3 linked regions of the Arabidopsis thaliana genome follow. The protein of the gene in region 1 interacts with the protein of each later gene in a pairwise test. Each region holds a gene or a part of one and is shown on either strand. Other genes may lie near its edges.

Region 1 (5,776 bases):
ATCCCGGTTTGGGAGATGAAAGATGGCCTTTTATTACTCACTTTGTTGGATGCAAACCGTGTGGGAGTTATGCTGATTACGCGGTTGAACGTTGCTTGAAGAGTATGGAGCGAGCATTCAACTTTGCGGATAATCAAGTGCTCAAACTGTATGGGTTTGGTCACAGGGGATTGTTAAGTCCTAAGATCAAGAGGATCAGAAACGAGACAACATTTCCATTGAAATTCGTAGACAGGTTTGATATTCGGAGAACAACACCGCTCAAGATTGAAGCACGAAGCTAGCAGCTGATGAACCAGTTTCAGTTTGGTAAAGCACAATCAGTTCCTACTTAACTGAACAAAATGCTACATTGTTTCAAAGCTCACTTCTCTTTCTTATATTTTTACCCAATATATAAAGTCAATATATTCTTTTGTTAAACTTGAACAGAAGATGAATTATCAATTTGTTCAAGTACCTTTCAATGCAAAGATCTAGTTTTGCAGAATCCTAAGTATGAAGTGAAGTAACTCTGACTCGTAACAATGGGAAAATTTACATCTTTATCTCAATTGAGAGATTAAAATGGAAGAATTTTACAGAAAGAGAGTGGCTTGCGAAATAATATAAACAAGAAACAAAAGAATCAATAAGCTAAAATGGTTTGAATTTGTGATGGATCATCTTCTTCTTGATACAATGTCCTTGTGGTGCTTTAACAGTAACTCATTCATTTGAGCAAGTTGATGCAAAAGCTGAACTATCCTCTGTTTCAAAATCAGAAAACAATAGTAATGTCACGTCTCTTAGGCATTTCATCAAACACTTTGTATGCACAAAAACATACCTCGTCTCTCTCTTTGATCACATCTCGAAGATGATCCATGTTTTCTCCTTTAACGCGTTTCCGAGGAGCTCGTACACGCATCCACCACCAAATCGCAATGGCAAGAACTGGATAAAATGATCGGATAGTCTTTGAGAACCAGGTCAACAAATTCTTCAACTTGGAGTATAAACGTACAAGAAGAGGCTCCCACCAATCGTGGAGGACATCAACTTCACGATTCAATGGTTTCCCCAGTAATTTCCCATCTGAATCGCATGGTGGAGACTTGCCGCCTTGTTCAGAAGGTAATCGCGGAGATATCTGTTCAAATGGCGACTGTTCCCCCGAATCGGACGGTGGAGATTCACCGCTTAACAACAACGGCAGAGATTTTTCTTCAGTTTCCGACGGAGCCTTCCGGTCAAATTCAAACGCAGTCAGTGACGTTTGTCCATCTGAATCAGAAGGAAACAACGAAAAAGAAGAAGATGAACCAGAGCGTCTCGACGAAGATGACGGAGACGAGGATTCCGACGGAGATTCGAGGTATCTATCGACTCCATAGACGGAAGAAGCGACATGGAGATTCTCATGGTAGATCGGCGGGAACACAACGCCATCGTCCTTGGCGAAAATTGGCGATTCTCTGATGACAACCATTGACGAACTGTGATCCAATGGACCAATCAGGTGTTGTTCACAATAATGATCTTCATCTTCAGCCATCTTCAGTTGGATTTGCTGGAGGAATTATCTCGCTAGGGTTTGCTTGTGAGAAAGAAACAGTTGGAGGAAGAAGAAGAAGGACAAATCCATGAAAGTTTCAAACTTTTGGGATCCAAGAAGAACACGTGATTGTTGCTTTTCGCTGATTCGTTTAAGAAAATCTGGTCATACACACGTGCCATCTCATTTTCTCGCGCAATTTTCTTTTGTATTAATTAGTTTATCACACGTGCCGTCTCATTGTCTGAACTGAATCCTAAAAAGAACATTGATGTTAAGGTATACAAAGTTACACACTAAATAGACAAAATGCTCTACATCTCTCACTCTCTCTACCTGAAACCTATACAACATTCCAATCTATCAAAAATTCCTCTAATCAGGAAATAAAAAACAGGAAAGAATTCTAATTTACAAGTTAGAATTAAATCAATGTGGAGTCAATCATGTTAAACGTGAGTGGCGAAAAGACCTGTCTCTTAATCTTTCGATGGTTCCTCGATAGCCCCCGCCAGGCGAAACCGCTCCCCATAGGACCCGAGCCTGTTTTTTTAACCGCACTAAGCATCCAATGCCGCTTTGCGGAAAGGTTTACTTGAACAGCACCACCGCCTCTTTGCTGGCTTACAAGACTAGCTCAGTTCTCTTGAGAGGTTGAGGCGGAATTTGCAAATTGATACTTAAGTTTTTCGTCAGCTATCATCAACTGGTTTCTTTGTGAGGTTGACTCCTTTTGCCTTCTCCATTTCCGCTTCCTTAAGAGCTTTCTTCTTCTCTAGCTCCGCTTGCTTGACATTCTCTTCGTGTGCTTTCTTAAACAACCTTATAAAATTCAAGAGGGTTGCAGTAACTGCAGCAGTCCATTACCCGGTATTATTATTAGCTACATAACACTTCCAACTAAATAACGATTAGGGACTTTTTCTTTTTCTATGTATTGCCCAAGAGGATTTAAGTTTATAGATTCCTCGTCATACCTTGTTCAAATGGACAACGGTTAGGATCCTCGCCAAAATAGTGAGCAAGAGCATCAGCATTTCTTCCCTGCCGTCCAACATAAGAAACAACACAAAAATCATTTTCAGGATCAACCACATTGTCAAGGTAAAGGCGCTTGGAATCTAGTAGAGGTTGACAAATTACCACGACCGAGTAAAGACTCGATACAGTTGCCACTTCAGTCTCAGCAACGGATATGAAGTCCCCCAATGTCTGTTATCAAAGCATAAAAGTAGGTTTTAGGATCAGGAAGAAATTAACTCTATAAACAAAACCCAACTGAAGAATTATTTTCCAGCGGGTTATTGATGATTTTAAAAGTGATACAGATTTAGTAATGTGGCACAATCATGGAACTAATCTCAATTTCATGATAGATAAGATGTGCAAAAGGAAAATTAAAAAACCCAACATACTTTACGGAAAACATCAGAAACAGGACCATCACTTTCGGATGCAGTGAGCTCCTGGTTCAGTTTTTCCAATCCTTTGATTATAGCTTGCATTTCCTCAGCCAGAGACTTCAATTGTATCTGCAATAGACAGGACGATCAAATGATGAGCCAATAGAAACTAAGGAGTAGAGGACGAGAAATGAACAACTGCAAACCTTCGAGGCTGATTCAAGACTTTCAAGATCCTTGGGGAAGTCCAGTAGAACTGATGCCTTTGAAGCAAGGACCTGGAAAAAGAAAGATGAGAGTTTCAGAATTATGTATCTCTCCTGATCCAGACCACTTTTTATAATAACCTTCATCAGAAACTAGATCCTGCTCTTTTTGATTGTCATTTACCTTGCAAAGATAATGCATGAGAGTCATCTTGCTGTTAGCAGCACGTGTATCACTTAATTTCGATAAACTGTCCAACTTGAATCCAACAGCAGCGCCTGCAGAAAGCAAAGCAAGGATCATATCAACCACAAAGGTTATCCGTACAGACAAAACAACTAGCAATGTCTTGTGCAAAAAGATGTAGAACAAGAATAACATAAATAATACTTACCCCTTGCAGTTCCTTGGTTCAATGTGTTCCCCAGGTAAAGAATCTTTTTCATAATTTCTTTTAGCTTTTGTGAAGAGCGGACCTGATGAATAAGCAATAAGTAGAAAATTCTAACAAAGAGAAATGCATATGGACTGCCCAAAAACTAGAGTTAACTATTGCAAGCATCTTACCTCCTCGCACGCAGAATTTACAGCATTTAAACTTTTTTTGAATTCTGTTATCTGCACAAAAAACATCATTATCAATAGTCTAATAAAATTATATTTTGTCCTCCAAAGAATCAAATAGACAGAAAATAACGGTATTAAGTAATTCCACCAGACCTGAGTGCCGAATTGAAATTTAAAAGAAAAGACTCTAAGCTTTGCCTCAACTCGTGGCACCTTCATTAGCTCTAGGAAGTACTGCAATAGCAAAATGGATGACAAAAAATGTATTAACTCAGTAAGCTAATTGCTAACCATTTTATAGTAGAAGCCAAAAACAGTGCGAGATTGGTTGGTAATCTGAAGACTTAAACAGACCTGCTCACACTTTCCCAAGGTCGTCTTGTCACCAGTGTAGTTCTAGAACAAACCAGACAATTACGACCAAGAACAAGGACTCATGTCAATAACAAGTGAATAATGATAACCAATAATTGACATATTTCACAAATGATCTCCAAAGTAAAGACAGAAATAGATAATGCTACTCAAAAGTCAAGACGTAACCTTAAGTAGCTCCATCTCCTCCTTGGTTGGGCAAAACTTTATAAGATTCTCTATTTGATCAACATCTAGTACAGACTCATCCATTGCCAGAACTGCAGCCTGGACGATGCAAAGAAAAATTTGAATAATTATCATCAAACTATGAAAGGGTAACCAGTCATGACTTTCACTCAGGTAAAGTAGGTACTGGAACTTACCATCATATCAGGTAGCGGCATCTTTACTTTAGTAAGCATAATTTCCGTGTTATTGGCTCTCCTAAGGTCAATCTGAAAAACCATAAGAAAACAATATTTCAAAAAGACTAGAATACTGAATCACAAAAGTATACAGACATGCCATAGGCTGCAGAGTAGAAGAAATTCCAGGGAAAAGAGATGCGGCAGAGTAGCTTAGAGAGACATTCTTAGTACAACTTTTAATATATTTATATACATATTCGGGTAGTACTCAGATTCCTGGCAAATCATAACATGCTATCAGTCACTTCTTTATACATTTCCAAAGTCTCTACCAGAAAGGAGCAAGTTAAAACATCTGACAATACTAAGGGTTAAGAATATCTAACATAATCATAACATGCTTTCAGTCACTTCTTTATACATTTCCAAAGTCTCTACCAGAAAGGAGCAAGTTAAAACATCTGACAATACTAAGGGTTAAGAATATTTAACATTACCAGTTGAACTTTTTCAGGTTTTGCCCCAACAGATTTTCGTCGACTCCCAGATTTATCAGCTGGCTTTTGCACTGTAGCAGAGAAGAGGGTCTCTATTTCTGATACATCAAATTCTGATGGACTAGCAGAAAAGAAAGAAAAATATGATTAATTGAAAAACAATAGTCAATAAAACCCCAACAGCACATAATTAGTTCCTTGATAAACAAAGGTGCAAGAGAAGGAACTTAGAAGAAAGAGGAAAGCAAAGATAAAGTTAGTCCAATACGTTTGTGATTCTCCATGTCTCTGTAACTCATCCCATAAGCTCCCTTGCAAGGCCCTTGTTACTTTAACCCAGTGTAATGGCTTCAGGGAAGACTTTTTTTGAGCTGCAGACCCAAAACCTGGACGAGGAAGACCACGCCCTCTTCCTGCACCTCTAGGATCAACTGCAGCTCCTCTGGCACCAAGCATTGGAGGTGGAGGAGGTCCACCACCCGGAGGTCTTGGTCCAGGAGGTGGGGGTGGACCAGGAGCACGGCCACCAGGAGGTGGTGGAGGCGGCGGTGCACCAGGCCCTCTACCGCCAGGAGGCGGAGGTGGTGGCGGGGCTCCTCCACGCATCGGGGGAGGCGGCGGCGGTGGAGCTCCTCCATGCATCGGGGGAGGCGGCGGTGGTGGGGCTCCTCCACGCATAGGGGGAGGTGGCGGCGGTGGGGCTCCTCCACGCATCGGGGGAGGCGGCGGCGGTGGAGCTCCTCCACGCATAGGGGGAGGCGGCGGCGGTTGGGCTCCTCCAAACATAGGGGGCGGCGGTGGCGGTGGAGCTCCTCCATGCATAGGGGGAGGCGGCGGCGG
Region 2 (6,560 bases), on another chromosome or scaffold:
AGGTTTACACAACCTCCAGACGTTAAATCTCTCCGATAACATCTTCACCGGGAAACTACCAGCTAACTTAGCGTCTCTTGGAAGCTTAACGGAGGTTTCTCTGAAGAACAACTACTTCTCCGGCGAGTTTCCCGGCGGCGGATGGAGATCGGTTCAGTATCTAGACATTTCTTCAAATCTAATCAACGGTTCACTCCCACCTGATTTCTCCGGCGACAATCTCCGATACCTGAATGTCTCGTATAACCAAATCTCCGGAGAGATTCCTCCGAATGTTGGTGCCGGTTTTCCTCAAAACGCCACCGTTGATTTCTCCTTCAACAATTTAACCGGTTCAATCCCAGATTCTCCGGTTTACCTTAACCAGAAATCAATTTCGTTTTCCGGAAACCCGGGTTTATGCGGAGGTCCGACCCGAAACCCGTGTCCCATTCCTTCATCTCCGGCCACCGTCTCGCCACCAACCTCTACACCTGCACTCGCAGCTATACCTAAATCAATCGGGTCTAATCGAGAAACCGAACCGAACAACAACTCAAATCCTCGAACCGGGTTAAGACCAGGAGTTATAATCGGAATCATAGTCGGAGATATCGCCGGAATCGGAATCCTCGCTCTTATCTTCTTCTACGTTTATAAATACAAAAACAACAAGACAGTGGAGAAGAAGAACAATCATAGCCTAGAAGCTCATGAAGCTAAAGACACAACTTCGTTATCACCATCATCATCAACAACTACATCTTCTTCATCTCCAGAACAATCAAGCAGATTTGCAAAATGGTCATGTCTCCGTAAGAATCAAGAAACCGATGAAACCGAAGAAGAAGACGAAGAAAATCAACGGTCAGGAGAGATTGGAGAGAATAAGAAAGGGACTTTAGTAACCATTGATGGAGGAGAGAAAGAGCTTGAAGTTGAAACTTTGCTTAAGGCTTCTGCTTACATTTTAGGAGCCACTGGTTCGAGTATAATGTACAAGACTGTTCTTGAGGACGGTACGGTTCTCGCGGTTCGTCGGTTAGGTGAGAATGGTTTGAGTCAACAACGCCGGTTTAAAGACTTTGAGGCACATATTCGAGCTATTGGTAAATTGGTTCACCCGAATTTGGTACGTCTTCGTGGATTCTATTGGGGCACCGACGAGAAATTGGTCATTTACGATTTTGTTCCTAACGGCAGTCTCGTCAACGCCCGTTACAGTGAGTCAAAATCATCTCTTTCACATTTCAATCTTTTTCCTCGCTTTATGATAAAGGCACATGTTAGCATAAGATCAAGTCGCACGCTAGCATCACCAGGGTTTTGCTACTGTGTTCATATTAGTTGGTAGTAGTTAAATTACACCTGTATTAATAAAGTCAACGGCTGGTCAAATTTTGATTCTTTGTGCTATTGGACAGGGAAAGGAGGGTCTTCGCCGTGCCATTTACCGTGGGAGACTCGGCTCAAGATAGTAAAAGGTTTGGCTCGTGGGCTTGCTTACCTCCACGACAAGAAACATGTGCACGGTAACTTGAAGCCTAGTAACATACTCTTGGGCCAAGATATGGAGCCCAAGATCGGAGATTTCGGGCTCGAAAGGCTTCTCGCCGGGGATACTAGCTATAACCGAGCTAGTGGATCATCTCGGATTTTCAGTAGCAAGCGATTGACAGCATCCTCGCGTGAATTTGGTACCATCGGGCCCACACCGAGCCCAAGTCCAAGCTCCGTTGGGCCCATATCTCCCTATTGCGCACCCGAGTCGCTCCGCAATCTCAAACCAAACCCGAAATGGGATGTGTTTGGGTTTGGAGTGATCCTCCTCGAGCTGCTCACGGGAAAAATAGTGTCGATAGACGAGGTGGGGGTAGGAAATGGGCTGACCGTAGAGGACGGGAACCGGGCGCTAATAATGGCTGATGTAGCGATCCGCTCCGAATTGGAAGGCAAAGAGGACTTTTTACTTGGCCTTTTCAAATTGGGATATAGTTGTGCATCTCAAATTCCACAAAAGAGACCGACCATGAAAGAGGCGTTAGTAGTGTTTGAAAGATATCCTATTAGCTCATCGGCTAAGAGTCCATCGTACCATTACGGACACTATTAACGTTTGATCTTACACTAACTCTAGTCTCTAAGCGTTTCTCTATGGCCAAAGTATATACACATGATGCAAATTGTTCTTTCTTGTTGTTTGTCCACTTGAGTTTTTATATATGATTCTTTAGGATACTACCACTAGGTTAGCTTGGTTTGTAATCGTTTTTTGTTTAATTTAGTGTAAGTTCGGTTTGTGTTGGAGACTTGGAGTTGGCTCCCATATACTTAAATCTTCAAACATAAGTTAATGTGTTATACTATATTTTCAACCAGTAGACCAATCATATAAATCGTTTAATAATTTCTGAACCACTAAACCCGCAAGTAAACCGATAGATTGATCGTATAATTTCAACCGGTTCGGATAGTAAATAGTAGATCTTCCGTAAACCGGATATGATCTGATCTGATCTCCCAAAAAGTCCCAAATCCAAATCTACGAATCTCCGTCTCCTCCGTCGCATTTTCCGAGGTAGAGAGAGAGATCAAACCAAAGAGACACAGAGAGAGTATCCACCGATGGAATCCGCAGCAACGGCTGTTGTACCTCCGGCAGCCGCCGCCACCACCGCCACCGCCACCGATGATAATCTCCAATCAAGCGACTCATCATCTCCCGCCGACGCCGTTAACCGATTGATCCACGCCTTTTCGCAGCGACAACAACATCTTCTCGACAAAACGGTTCCTCACGTTCTCTATCGATGGATCGCATGTCTCTGTGTTGTATTGATCTACATCGTTCGTGTTTACTTTGTGGAAGGCTTCTACATCATCACTTACGCCATCGGCATCTACCTTTTGAATCTCATCATTGCTTTTCTATCTCCTCAAGAAGATCCCGAAGCTTCTCTCACTTCCGGTGGTTCTCTTCCTACTCGGAGATCCGATGAGTATCGTCCTTTCGTTCGCCGTCTCCCTGAGTTCAAATTCTGGTTCGTCTCTTTGATTCTGTATTATTGATTTTGTTAGATCTGATATAGGGTTTTAGTAGTGAAATTGAGCATAGCGTTATTGGTTTGATTCACTTTATCGATTGAGACTTGAGAGGATGACGAAGCTTGATGACTTACTTGTTAAGGAATTCAACTATTGTAGACTTTGATATAGTTAGATTACGTAGATCTGATCTAGGGTTTTAGTAGCGTTATTGGTTTGATTGCAGATGAATTCATGACTGAATCGTTAGATCAGATGATTGATAATGATGTTTGATGACTTACTTGTTGAGGAATTCAATTATTGTGGACTTTGATGTAGCTAGATTGATTCAATTCTGCAGAGAAACTACATTTTTAGCAAGATTTAGAACCAAATTTAGAAGAGATCGACAAGATTCACTTTGTGAAGCCTTTGTATGAATTCTTTTTAGGTTTATCAATCTAGAATGTGATGAAGTCTCGATTTGATGTCCTTTGGATTTTTTGATGTGGAATGTTGTGTGTGTGTTTTTTGCCATGAAGGTTATCGATCATAAGGGCTTTCATCATCGGATTTATGATGACGTTCTTCGAGGTGTTTGATGTACCTGTATTCTGGCCAATACTTCTCTTCTACTGGGTGATGTTGTTTTTCCTTACGATGAGGAAACAGATACAGCATATGATCAAATACAGATATGTCCCTTTCTCTTTTGGGAAAAAGGTGTGTGTTTCTTTTTCTTTCCTTCCTTCACAGAACTGACTCTAACGTCTGAACAAGTTGAGTAAGTTTTCTAACTTCATCCTCGGTTTGTTTTTCCCTTGCAGCAGTATGGAAAGAAACCGGCTCCAACAGAGAGCAGTGAATGATCAATCAAAACTGTTCAGGTCAGCAATTTTACAGTCTTTTGAGAGAAGTAGCATTTGAAAAGGTCGGTCTTTTGTTCTCTTTTGATGGCCTATATCTTTGTTAGGGATGAAGTAGAGATAGACATATTTTGCTCTTTTATCATCCTGACTATTTTACTGGTTTCACCTGAACTCAATGTACAATCTTATTTTTTTACATCCTTTTTTCAGTGAGAAAATAATGTTTCATACTTGACCCTTTTGTAATCATCATGGTGGAAAACTAAAGACTAATCAGTAATCACTGTCCGGTTCTATCGATGTTCATGGATTGTGTCCTAGTTATTTAAGAACATGGAAATTGCGATATGCTTGGTATTCATGAATGTTCACTGAGTTCTTCCTGATTCTATAATGTGTTTTTTTTCTTTCAAGTGTTAGTTTTGATAGATACAATGTTTCATTAAAAATGAATGGTACTATACAACTCCAAATCTCACGAACAACTACCATAGTTAGCAAAGTATATAGTCATTCACAACATATGACGATTGAGATTTGAGATAATATGTCAAGTAGGAAACTGTTTACTTCAGTTTCCTTAATGGTTGGTAAAGTTTCATATGTGAAGTTCATAATCTATCTAGTCTCTCTACAAAGGTGTGATTTCATAAACCCGGAAAACAAGAAATGGCAACCAAGATTTGATGATATTGTCATTTTGCTTTCCGCAATCGTCGTACTCTGATTTTGAGTAAAAATAAGTAATCCAGTTTTGGTCATTTTAACGGCCCAATAGCAATCACTGCAAGTCTGATTTTGAATTTGTAACAATAAATTAGGATACTCTAAAATACACAGATACGGAATTGACCAAGTAGATATCCTAGTCTATCAATAATTTCCTTTTTCTTTAAACATTTAACATGAAATCGGTGAGAATATTCTTAAATCATAACTAACCATATTTGCCTATTTAATAAATACTATAAAACCCTGTTGCGGCCATTCACAATTGACAATACACCAAGAAGAAAAGAAAAAAAAAAACATATGACGACGATGCCAAATGTTCCAGAGGTTTTGGAAGAGGAGATTTTGTTCCCTGAGTTTCAGTCTACAAAGAATCCATAACGATGACTTCGTTTTTCGGTCGTTAAATTAGGTAAATATTTTTGACCATATCGAAATACAAAGTCATCCACATTTAGATGTGGTCAAAAATATCTACCTGATTAATGGACGGAATGACAAAGTCATTCTTGTGGATTCCTTGGAAATTGAATGTCAAGGAACAGATGTTCTAATTGATAACTAGAGTTGTCCTCTATGAGGAGATATAGCTTACGTCATTAGATAATGGTCCATTTGTTAAGGAGGTATGAAAAAACAAATCATTCATGTATTTCAAAACCAGGACCTTATTCAATGCATCAGTTTAAGCAATCTTAAACATATATATTACAAAATCAGATGATAAATGAAAAGTCATATTAAGGAAAATTCTGAAGGCTTTAACCTCAAACGTGATGTTATACTTTCCATCTTTATTCCGCATCCTCAAATATGATTGGGACGAGTGACGTCTCTGCACCTTCACTCAGAAGTAGTAGGGAATTCTTAGTTTATTATGAATGCCCTTCAAAGTAAGAATTGGAGTTTATGGAAGCTCATTTGATTCGCAGAATATATGTTGATAAAAAAAAAGAAAAGAGAGTGTTGGGTCAAAATTATAGGCTATTGAGTTGTGTCCACTAAGCTAGTTTTCTTGCTTGCTCATGTATTTTGGGCCGAGTTTTCAATCAGTAGTTATCCACATATATTTCGGGATCACATAATTATTTGGATATGATACTTCATGAAACATTTGTGAGCCAGGGGTATCAAAATAGATAATTTAATTCGATCCAAACCCATATGGGTTCGAGGTTTTATTAAACAGGTTTGATTCAACCTATTTATTTATATGGGTTTAATTTACATATTCAAACCCAAAACTATAAAATCTATTGGTTATAGATTATATCAATATATGGATCCTATAAATAAATATACAAAAAAATCCGAAATTATAATTAGAAAACCAACAAAAAATTTCAAATAACAAATTAAAAATATTTAAATAGAAAAGCATCCTAAAATGTTAAAACCACATAACCAAAAGAAAAATATTTGTTACATATATATTATTATTTATATATATATTGTTTTTTACTTTTTAATTCTTAGTAAAAAAGATAAAGTAACATTTATTTTAGATATTTTACATATTTAACTCCAAAGAAAAGAAAATATATTATATTTTTAGTTTAAGCAATGATCTAAAAGAGATTTAAAAAAAAAAAAGTAATAAATTGTTGTAGAAACCGAAGGAAGATGTAGTTTTAGCAAGAAACTGAAAGGATAACTCATGAGTTTATTGTTAAAACTAAATATATATATTAGTTTATCTTAAATTAGCATAACCGAAAGAGATATTTTATAGTGATTTTACGAACATACTTAAAAATACATAAGTAGAGAAATCAAATAAAATATAACAAATATGGTAGGTACAAAAGGAATAGAATACGGTGTTAACTAATTATGTAAAAAACAATTGACATAAAAATTGAATGGTAAACAACATAATAAGTATAGTGTGAGTGAGTGTAATAAATTATTTTTGACTATTTTTTATTGTCTATAACATTTGCTGTGACTGAA
Region 3 (7,834 bases), on another chromosome or scaffold:
AAAAGTAACCTTGGTTTAGATATTAATTTCAGGTGGAACATCCTGAGGGTGACTCACAACAGGAGTTTAATTTCCAACGATGGAAATACAAAACGTACAACTTCACGATCGCCACATTTTGGACAACACATTTGGTTCGCGCTGAAGAAACGGAAACCGGTCCGACAGGTCCTAATTCATTCTACAATCTCTACCTCGACGAACCTGACCCTACTTGGGCTTCCCAAATCGGTGAGTTCGATTACATAATCATCTCATCTGGACAATGGTTTTTCCGACCACTCTTCCTTTTCGACAAACAAAAAAGGATAGGATGTTTGTATTGCTACATTCCCGGAGTCAGAAATGTCGGGGCACATTTCGCGTATAGAAGAGCATTGAGAACAACATTCAAGACAATTCTTGGATTAGAGAATTTTAAAGGAGAAGTGTTTCTGAGGACATTTGCTCCTTCACATTTCGAAGGTGGAGAATGGGACAAAGGTGGAAATTGCTTGAAAACGCGACCATATAGGTATACATTGTTCATCCGACATTTTCTAAAATATTAGTTTCTTCTAGAATACTTTAATATTATGAGTTTTGTGTTTTTTTTGTTGTTGTTTGAGTTTTCATTCGTCACATCCTAATAGAAACGTCTATATATTCCTTTGGGTTTCTTTTGTGTTTATATAGGAGCAATGAGACAGAGTTAGATGGTATGAATCTAGAGACACACAGCATTCAACTCGATGAATTTCGCATTGCAAACAGAGACAAAAACAGAAATGACGGATTAAATTTGAGATTACTAGATGTCACACAGATGATGTTGTTAAGACCAGATGGACATCCGAGCAGATTCGGACATAAACGAGAAGATAAAGTTATCTTGTATAATGATTGTGTACATTGGTGTTTGCCAGGTCCAATTGATTCATGGAACGATTTTTTACTAGACATGTTGAAAAATAGAGATTTAAAGAGATTAAAATACTAGTACGTAGAATCTAAATTTTCTCAGTTAAACCCTTTTTGTTCATTTGTAATTATATACGAGTATGTTTGGTTACGATGTGGTATTTAGAAAGATCTCTTCCCTTTTTGGCACGGTTTTCATAATCAGATATAAGCTTTTAAGTAATTTCAGATCTTAATTAACACATTGAATATTTAATGATATGGATCTAATATAAGTTTATGGTACAAATGAAGTAAAATAGTCAACGTTTTCCAAGTAACATGTCAACCGTACATACATTAATGTATTTTACATCAAAAAGTCCATGCAATGATTTTAGAATTCAAATAAATAAAGTCTATTTGAATTAGGAAAATTATATATATTTGACACAAAATTAAAATTTATTAGTTTAATAAAAAGAATAATGGTCATAACGTATATATACAAATTATACAACTTTACAAACAAGAAAACAAACGAAAATAGTCAACCCACCATGCAAACGCTACCGTTTCTAAATTGGTTTTAATTATAAATCATCGGCGATCTACGCTACCGGTAACAAGATATCCAATTCCGTGGCGTCTCGCCGGAAAAACCATAAACAAAAGGCTACACATAACCCCAACACCCACCGGAACAATGTCCAAGACATGTTTCGTCTCTGCCTCCGGCGACGGATAAAAGCAATCAGTTATATACTTGTCTCTCAACGCAACCGCTCCAAACACTAAAACCGACAACGTAGCGTGGATCCAATCAACGAACCGCATCCGATATTTGGCTAAATCGGGTAAACCTAACCCGGACGGGTCAGGATAGTCAACGACCCACATGCCTTTGAACGTTACGAAACCGAAGTAGATAGTTCCATCGTCGGCTTTAACGCTATCGGTAAAGGAGCTGACGAAGCAAGACGCGGCTAAGAGGAAAAGGAGAACGGCGGTTAGGAAACGCGTTGCGTGGTCGCAAACGCCGTTTGAAGTGAAAACCGGCGTTAGGAGTTGAAACGCGAGGAGTGTTCCCGTTGGGAGTAGGTTTGAGAGATTGGCTGCTGACGTCAGGGTGTTTGACATGGCTCGCTGAGACATTGACATCTGTCTCTTGAGCACCCGGGATTCTGACGGTGTCTGATCGGATAACTCGTCGAGCTCCGGAGCCGGAGTGTTTGCGTTTCTTAGCCGAAGGGCAGACATCTTTTTAGTTTTGATTCTTTTCAGGTTTCGATCGTTGGATTGATATTGGTGAAGATAATGATGATGATGTTTTTTTATAGATGCTACGATATAGAAACAGCTAATGATAACTTAGTTTACGCATAGTGGACTGTCTGTATTTAAGTAATCTCTCTGTTCAGTTAACTTGTACGATAAACAACATTATACACGACAAATAATACAAGACTTTTTAAAGCTTTTAACAAGATAGAACATAATGCTGAAAACAGTGATTGAGCTAGATATAACTGTGTCATATTCTGCTTGTTCTTCGCACGCTAGTCCTTCTCTGTTCTCACGATTTAGGGTTTCTTTCCCAATGCTCTGTTTTGTTCATTTTCTTTCTTTGGATAAATTGCATACAAACCCTCAAAGTTTCCAGTCTTTTGCAAAGTTGTAGTTATTTTTATATTAAATATCATAAACAACTGATTGCCAAAACGTCGTCGCTCTTGCAAAAGTCCACAGATACTAGTAGTAAGTAAAGTATAGGAAAAGTGGACCAAAGAAACAAAACCCATACAAAAAAAGTCGAATCCAAATCTCTCTCTCCGGCGATCTCATCCATGGCGGAAGGCGGCGAAGATTCCCAGCGGTTGAAGAAAATTGCGGCGGCTGCCTTCGACTACGAAAACGACGCTCGATGGGCCGATTACTGGTCCAATATCCTCATCCCTCCTCACATGGCTTCTCGTCCCGAGGTCGTCGACCATTTCAAGCGCAAATTCTACCAACGCTACATCGTACTTACTACTATCTTCCCTACTCTTGAATTTGCTTATCCATTTTCTTCATTACTTTGAGTTTCGAGTTTGACTTTGTGTTGTGTGCGCTACTGATTTGGGGATTTAGTGTGGACTTTGAATCTTAGGTTTTACAAGTGTGGTTGTTGATGTTCTTTCTGCTAAATTGCTTAGTCCTTGGGTCCGAATCTCCTCGTGATTAGGTTATTAAGCGGAGGGTAGGGCTTTTCATTGAATATTCGTTAGGTCCTGTTTATAATATGTGAAGCCTTCGTGTTGTTCATCTTTGCTCTTCCCTATGAAGATGTAATCTGGATTTGTTTCTAAATCTAGGGTGCTTGCCATGTCCTTCTTTTTTGCAGGATCCTGATCTTGTTGTGGAGCCTATGTCGACTTCATCTTCGTCTTCACAATCTGCCAGGCCAACTGCTACATCTGCATCTTCAACTGCATCTTCTAATGCAAATGAACAAGTTCGTTCACGGAACTCAGGTCAACTTTCTTTGTCTGATATATTCTTGAACTCAAATGAGCTTTTCTTATTACTACCAAAAACTTACCTAATTGTGTGCCTCAGGATCGGTTCCTCGAACCTCTGGGCCATCTGCTACGACTGGTGCAACCCCAAGTTCAATGCGCTGGGATGAGCAGACGATTCAGTTTTCAGTCAATGCTTGGGTAAGATAAAGTTTTTCAGTTGCAGTTTCTTCCTCTTATTGCACAAGTTTAATAAAAAGATCTAGCTCTTGTTAGCCCTGTGAGTTGGGATTGTTGTTGCAATCTGCTGTTCACTCCTTAACTTCACGGACAGTAATGAGATGGTGCATAGTGTATTGTCTGTCTTTATGTTCTCCTGTCTTGCTGAATCTTTGTTGTGTACTTAGACATGAACTAGATGTGACAAATGCTTTTTTGTCTGGAATGCTTCACGTAACTTATCTCCCGTTTCATGTCTCTAAATCCATTACATTTTTGCAGGTTTTTGTTATAGCTGTGCTGGCAGTGCTACCTCTAATACCAAAGAACCTCTCAAATAGGGCTTATCGTCTATCTTTCATGGGAACTGCATGCTCATCTCTATATTCCTTATACTCCTTATACGGGGTACGCCATGTGAATTTCATGTTTTCTTTCTCTCTAGTGATCATGCAATGCGAAATTTTTGTTACTTATGAATTGTAATTTTATAATCTGCAGAGGCCAAGGGCATGGAATATGCAAGGGCTGCAAGTTTATTTTCAATCAATTGTGGCAGCAAAGGATTTCATCTACTTCATCTACTGCCTTACATTCGTCACTTCACATCTCTGTCTCAAGTGTAAGAATTTATTGAAAACTCTTTTGTGAATGTCTTCAAATCACGTACATTCTTATGACTAGTCTCATTATCAATCTGTTGCAGTTGCTTTGATTCCCATCTTGTGCCGGGCACTTGAACAAGTAGCCAAGTTCTTGAGGCGTAACTTTGGTCGGTCCACTATATACAGGTAGGTGCATCGAGCTGATTAGCAGGTTTGAATGTAGTAGTAGGTTCCATGTGTGGATTCTTACTGATGCTTATGTTGTACATGTGTCTTGTTCTGTAATGGTTATCAGAAAGTACTTGGAAGACCCTTGTGTGTGGGTGGAGTCAAACACTACTACCCTCAACATCTTGTCATCGCAGGCTGAGATAGCCATTGGCTTCCTTCTGATTATCTCTCTGCTCTCGTAAGCTCTTTGAACCTGTTAGAAGCGATAATAGTTTATTTTCGCACTTAAGTTTATATTCTCACTAAGTTCCCAGCTTTGCATTAGCTGGTTTCACTTATCTGAACAAAATTGTCATTTTACTTACTGCAGATGGCAACGTAACATTATACAGACGTTCATGTACTGGCAGGTACGTATCATCTTTTGGTTGTAGTCATCAGTTCTTTGTGATGGCTCAACATTCCCAAGTAGAACCCCTGTTTTCTTTGTTTAATTTGATCCAAGTGAACATATAGGAAGAATCATTTCCGTAATAACACCTTTTTTGTTGCTTTGATGATCTTCTGTCACTGAAAGTGTTACATGGGCTAAGACCATCAGGATAGTAATGAGAACTGTGTTTTGTTTTTTTTTGGTTAAAAATCTTGTGTTCTTGTTATAAAATCTGTCAAGTTCAAAAACCTTTTCCTCATATTCTTCCTAAAACAAAGATCTACTAGGTTGTTTGCAGGATTGTTGGTTGGATCTTGAGAGTTGTTCTCATGAACTGAGTTTTGTTATTTTGGTGGCAGCTATTGAAGCTGATGTATCAAGCACCGGTAACAGCTGGTTACCACCAGAGCACGTGGAGCAGAATAGGGAGGACGGTGACTCCGATTATCCAACGTTACGCTCCTTTCTTGAATACTCCGGTCAGTGCCGTTCAGAGATGGTGGTTCAGGTGATAAAAAGAAACAAAATGCAGAGGTGACTTTTGAAACCCTTTTGAAAAACCAGAAGATTGATTAAATAGCTTTCAACAATCCATGTTAATTTCATATTCAGCGTAAAGTAGATTCTTCTTCTCTTTTAACGTTTTCCTTTGGCTATCGCTGAAATAAAAATCTCTTATTACTTTTGGTTTCTAGTTTAGTTATATGTGACTAATTGCCTTTCCAGTTTCCACCTTGCCATTTTCATTGGTGAGATACTTCAAAAGTTTCTAAAAAAATAATAATAATAATATTTTATTATGATTTAGTTTCTGTCCAATTATAAACACATACATATACATATAGTCTCTCAATCATTACTCTAAAATTTCTCTGCATAAAAACAATTCTCAATCTCTCTCTTATCTCTCTCATACTTTATTATTATTTTATATTTTTTAGTCAATAAAAAATTATGTGAGAAATTACCGATGAAAATGTTCTAAATTTTATAATATCTGATTCCATGAGTGATTGTAGAACTTTTGCTCAAAAATAAAAATCATCTAAAATATCATCTGGCCCTAGAAAATCGGTTTCATTGTGTAAAATTATTATATATTGAAAGGGTGATTATTTAAAGAAATTATAGTTGATTGGTTGTGAGTCGTTTACACATGTGGATGAGTGTTTTTGTTCGAAAAAAGGAAATCTAAAATAATGTACATTGGGGGGGGGAGAGGAGTATTATTTAGATAAACCAAATTTGGGAATAAGGTATCTTAATCATTGATTCATATTCCCTTCATTGGTGCGCGTGCCACCGCTTAAATCACCGAACACGTTCCCAAAGTCTAGTACCAGCAAGCAATACCACGTGGCGTCTATGCACAACTATACGAAATACGAGTGTCGAGACATCAAACCACCAATAGCGTATTGTGTTCGAACGCAATTCTAATCACAATTTAATATATGGAGCGGGACCCTTTAAACTGCTGTTTAATACACAAAATAAGAAAAAGAACTCTTCAAAGTACGTAATCACTACTAGATTAAAGAAACCAAATCAGAATACTGTAACTTATTCACATTAATAATACTCATTAGGAAGGAAAAAAATTGGTAGAGAAGAGGACCGGAATACGACGTCGTTTTGACATTCCTCTGTGAAAAAGAGAGAGAGCCGCACATGAGTGAAAGCTTTTCAAATATTTGAAAATTGAAACAAAAAAAACAAGAACCGATCAATTATAAAAGCACAAGACACGAATAGGAGGAGGAGGATACAAAATTCGAGATCCAATCTTTCTCCGACTACTTTCACGGCGGAGATGCAGTTGTCTCCGGAACGATGCCGTCCGATGTCTGAAAACAGAGAGGCTTGGTCAGCGAATTCCGAGGAAATGGAGCTGCTTCACGGCTCCAACAGATTATCTTCACCGGAACATGTTCGTAGAAGAGTCTCCGGGAATTCTTCTGAGGACGGTTCGCCTCGAATTTGCCGGCAGCAGTCGTTCGGTCGCGACATAGGCCATGCAGCTGCCGAGACGTATCTCATTACTCGACTTAGCTTCAACCTTCTTGGATATCTCGGGTAAATTTCATTCCTCTCATGGCATCGTTTATTTGTTTTTAGCCGAGACGTATCTCATGTCCTGTTTCTAGAGCTCACAATTAGTCTTCTCGATGAATTATTCTTACCACAGTTTTATGATAACTAAATGAGTTTTCCGGTAATTAATAATCTTAGGACATGTGATGATGTTTCAATTTTTTTGTCGGAATCTCTGTAAGGAAAGTTTTGTTTTATTGTTGTAAGTTTTTGTTCAGGGTAGGTTACCGGTGGATCACAAGATTACTTGCTCTTGCTTGTTATGCAATGCTCCTTATGCCTGGTTTCCTTCAAGGTTACCCCATCTTCTTTGCTCTGTCTTATTAACAAGCTGTTTTTTGTACACTAACAAAGCTTTTGCTATTTCCTTGTGCAGTTGCATATCTTTATTTTTTCTCATCTCAAGTCAGGAGGAGTATAGTTTATGGAGGTCATCCAAGGAATAGGTATCTCAGTCTCTGCAATCTTGCCTTCTTCAATGATTGGTATTTAGTACATTTTATTCGATTATTCTGGCAGGCTGGATTTGTACATACCGCCAACGAGTGATGGCCTGAAGCCGGTTGTAGTTTTCGTTACTGGTGGAGCTTGGATTATCGGGTAAGCAATTCGTGGGCCTCGTATCGTGTTTAACTTTGATAATAATACACTAGCGTCCTTTGTGGATACATCTTCTTTCACAAGATAAAAGTCGCACACTCAATAGTTTCATACTTGCCTATCCTTTTAGTTACAAAGCTTGGGGTTCTCTCTTGGGACTACAGCTAGCAGAAAGGGACATAATTGTGGCATGTCTAGATTACAGGTAAGCAAAGTAGTCAATTTCTTACCAGTGTTACTTGTCCTGGATTCTATCAAATCTATATCAGCTTGGAGCTATTTGGGAATTTATCTTTGTTAATCATATGCCTGTATCCAATGCATTGACCAAG

The links.
Region 2: the proteins of AT5G07730 (region 1) and ATRER1C1 interact in a two-hybrid assay, tested with the Arabidopsis thaliana proteins (one large-scale study listed by BioGRID).
Region 3: the proteins of AT5G07730 (region 1) and AT3G02420 interact in a two-hybrid assay, tested with the Arabidopsis thaliana proteins (one large-scale study listed by BioGRID).

The regions. Positions count from the first base shown.
Region 1 is NC_003076.8:2,456,847-2,462,622, forward strand, and holds AT5G07730 (uncharacterized protein), read right to left. Parts: upstream 1,657-5,776; 5' UTR 1,538-1,656; coding exon 830-1,537; intron 750-829; coding exon 663-749; 3' UTR 501-662; downstream 1-500. Other genes in the region: XXT3 (Galactosyl transferase GMA12/MNN10 family protein), read left to right, coding at 1-284; AT5G07740 (actin binding protein), read right to left, coding at 2,230-2,387, 2,515-2,581, 2,681-2,749, 2,953-3,069, 3,147-3,218, 3,331-3,425, 3,542-3,623, 3,715-3,948 and 5 more.
Region 2 is NC_003071.7:9,915,039-9,921,598, forward strand, and holds ATRER1C1 (Rer1 family protein), read left to right. Parts: upstream 1-2,404; 5' UTR 2,405-2,604; coding exon 2,605-3,020; intron 3,021-3,548; coding exon 3,549-3,729; intron 3,730-3,833; coding exon 3,834-3,875; 3' UTR 3,876-4,341; downstream 4,342-6,560. Other genes in the region: AT2G23300 (Leucine-rich repeat protein kinase family protein), read left to right, coding at 1-1,202, 1,404-2,092. UniProt on the Arabidopsis thaliana protein: Involved in the retrieval of endoplasmic reticulum membrane proteins from the early Golgi compartment.
Region 3 is NC_003074.8:493,665-501,498, reverse strand, and holds AT3G02420 (dihydroflavonol 4-reductase/flavanone protein), read left to right. Parts: upstream 1-2,534; 5' UTR 2,535-2,726; coding exon 2,727-2,903; exon of another isoform or gene 2,904-3,121; intron 3,122-3,265; coding exon 3,266-3,395; intron 3,396-3,480; coding exon 3,481-3,581; intron 3,582-3,881; coding exon 3,882-4,007; intron 4,008-4,100; coding exon 4,101-4,221; intron 4,222-4,305; coding exon 4,306-4,390; intron 4,391-4,499; coding exon 4,500-4,613; intron 4,614-4,745; coding exon 4,746-4,785; intron 4,786-5,167; coding exon 5,168-5,320; 3' UTR 5,321-5,615; downstream 5,616-7,834. Other genes in the region: TBL20 (TRICHOME BIREFRINGENCE-LIKE 20), read left to right, coding at 33-514, 676-979; AT3G02430 (transmembrane protein, putative (DUF679)), read right to left, coding at 1,480-2,139; ICME-LIKE2 (alpha/beta-Hydrolases superfamily protein), read left to right, coding at 6,622-6,884, 7,121-7,197, 7,279-7,348, 7,422-7,502, 7,633-7,707.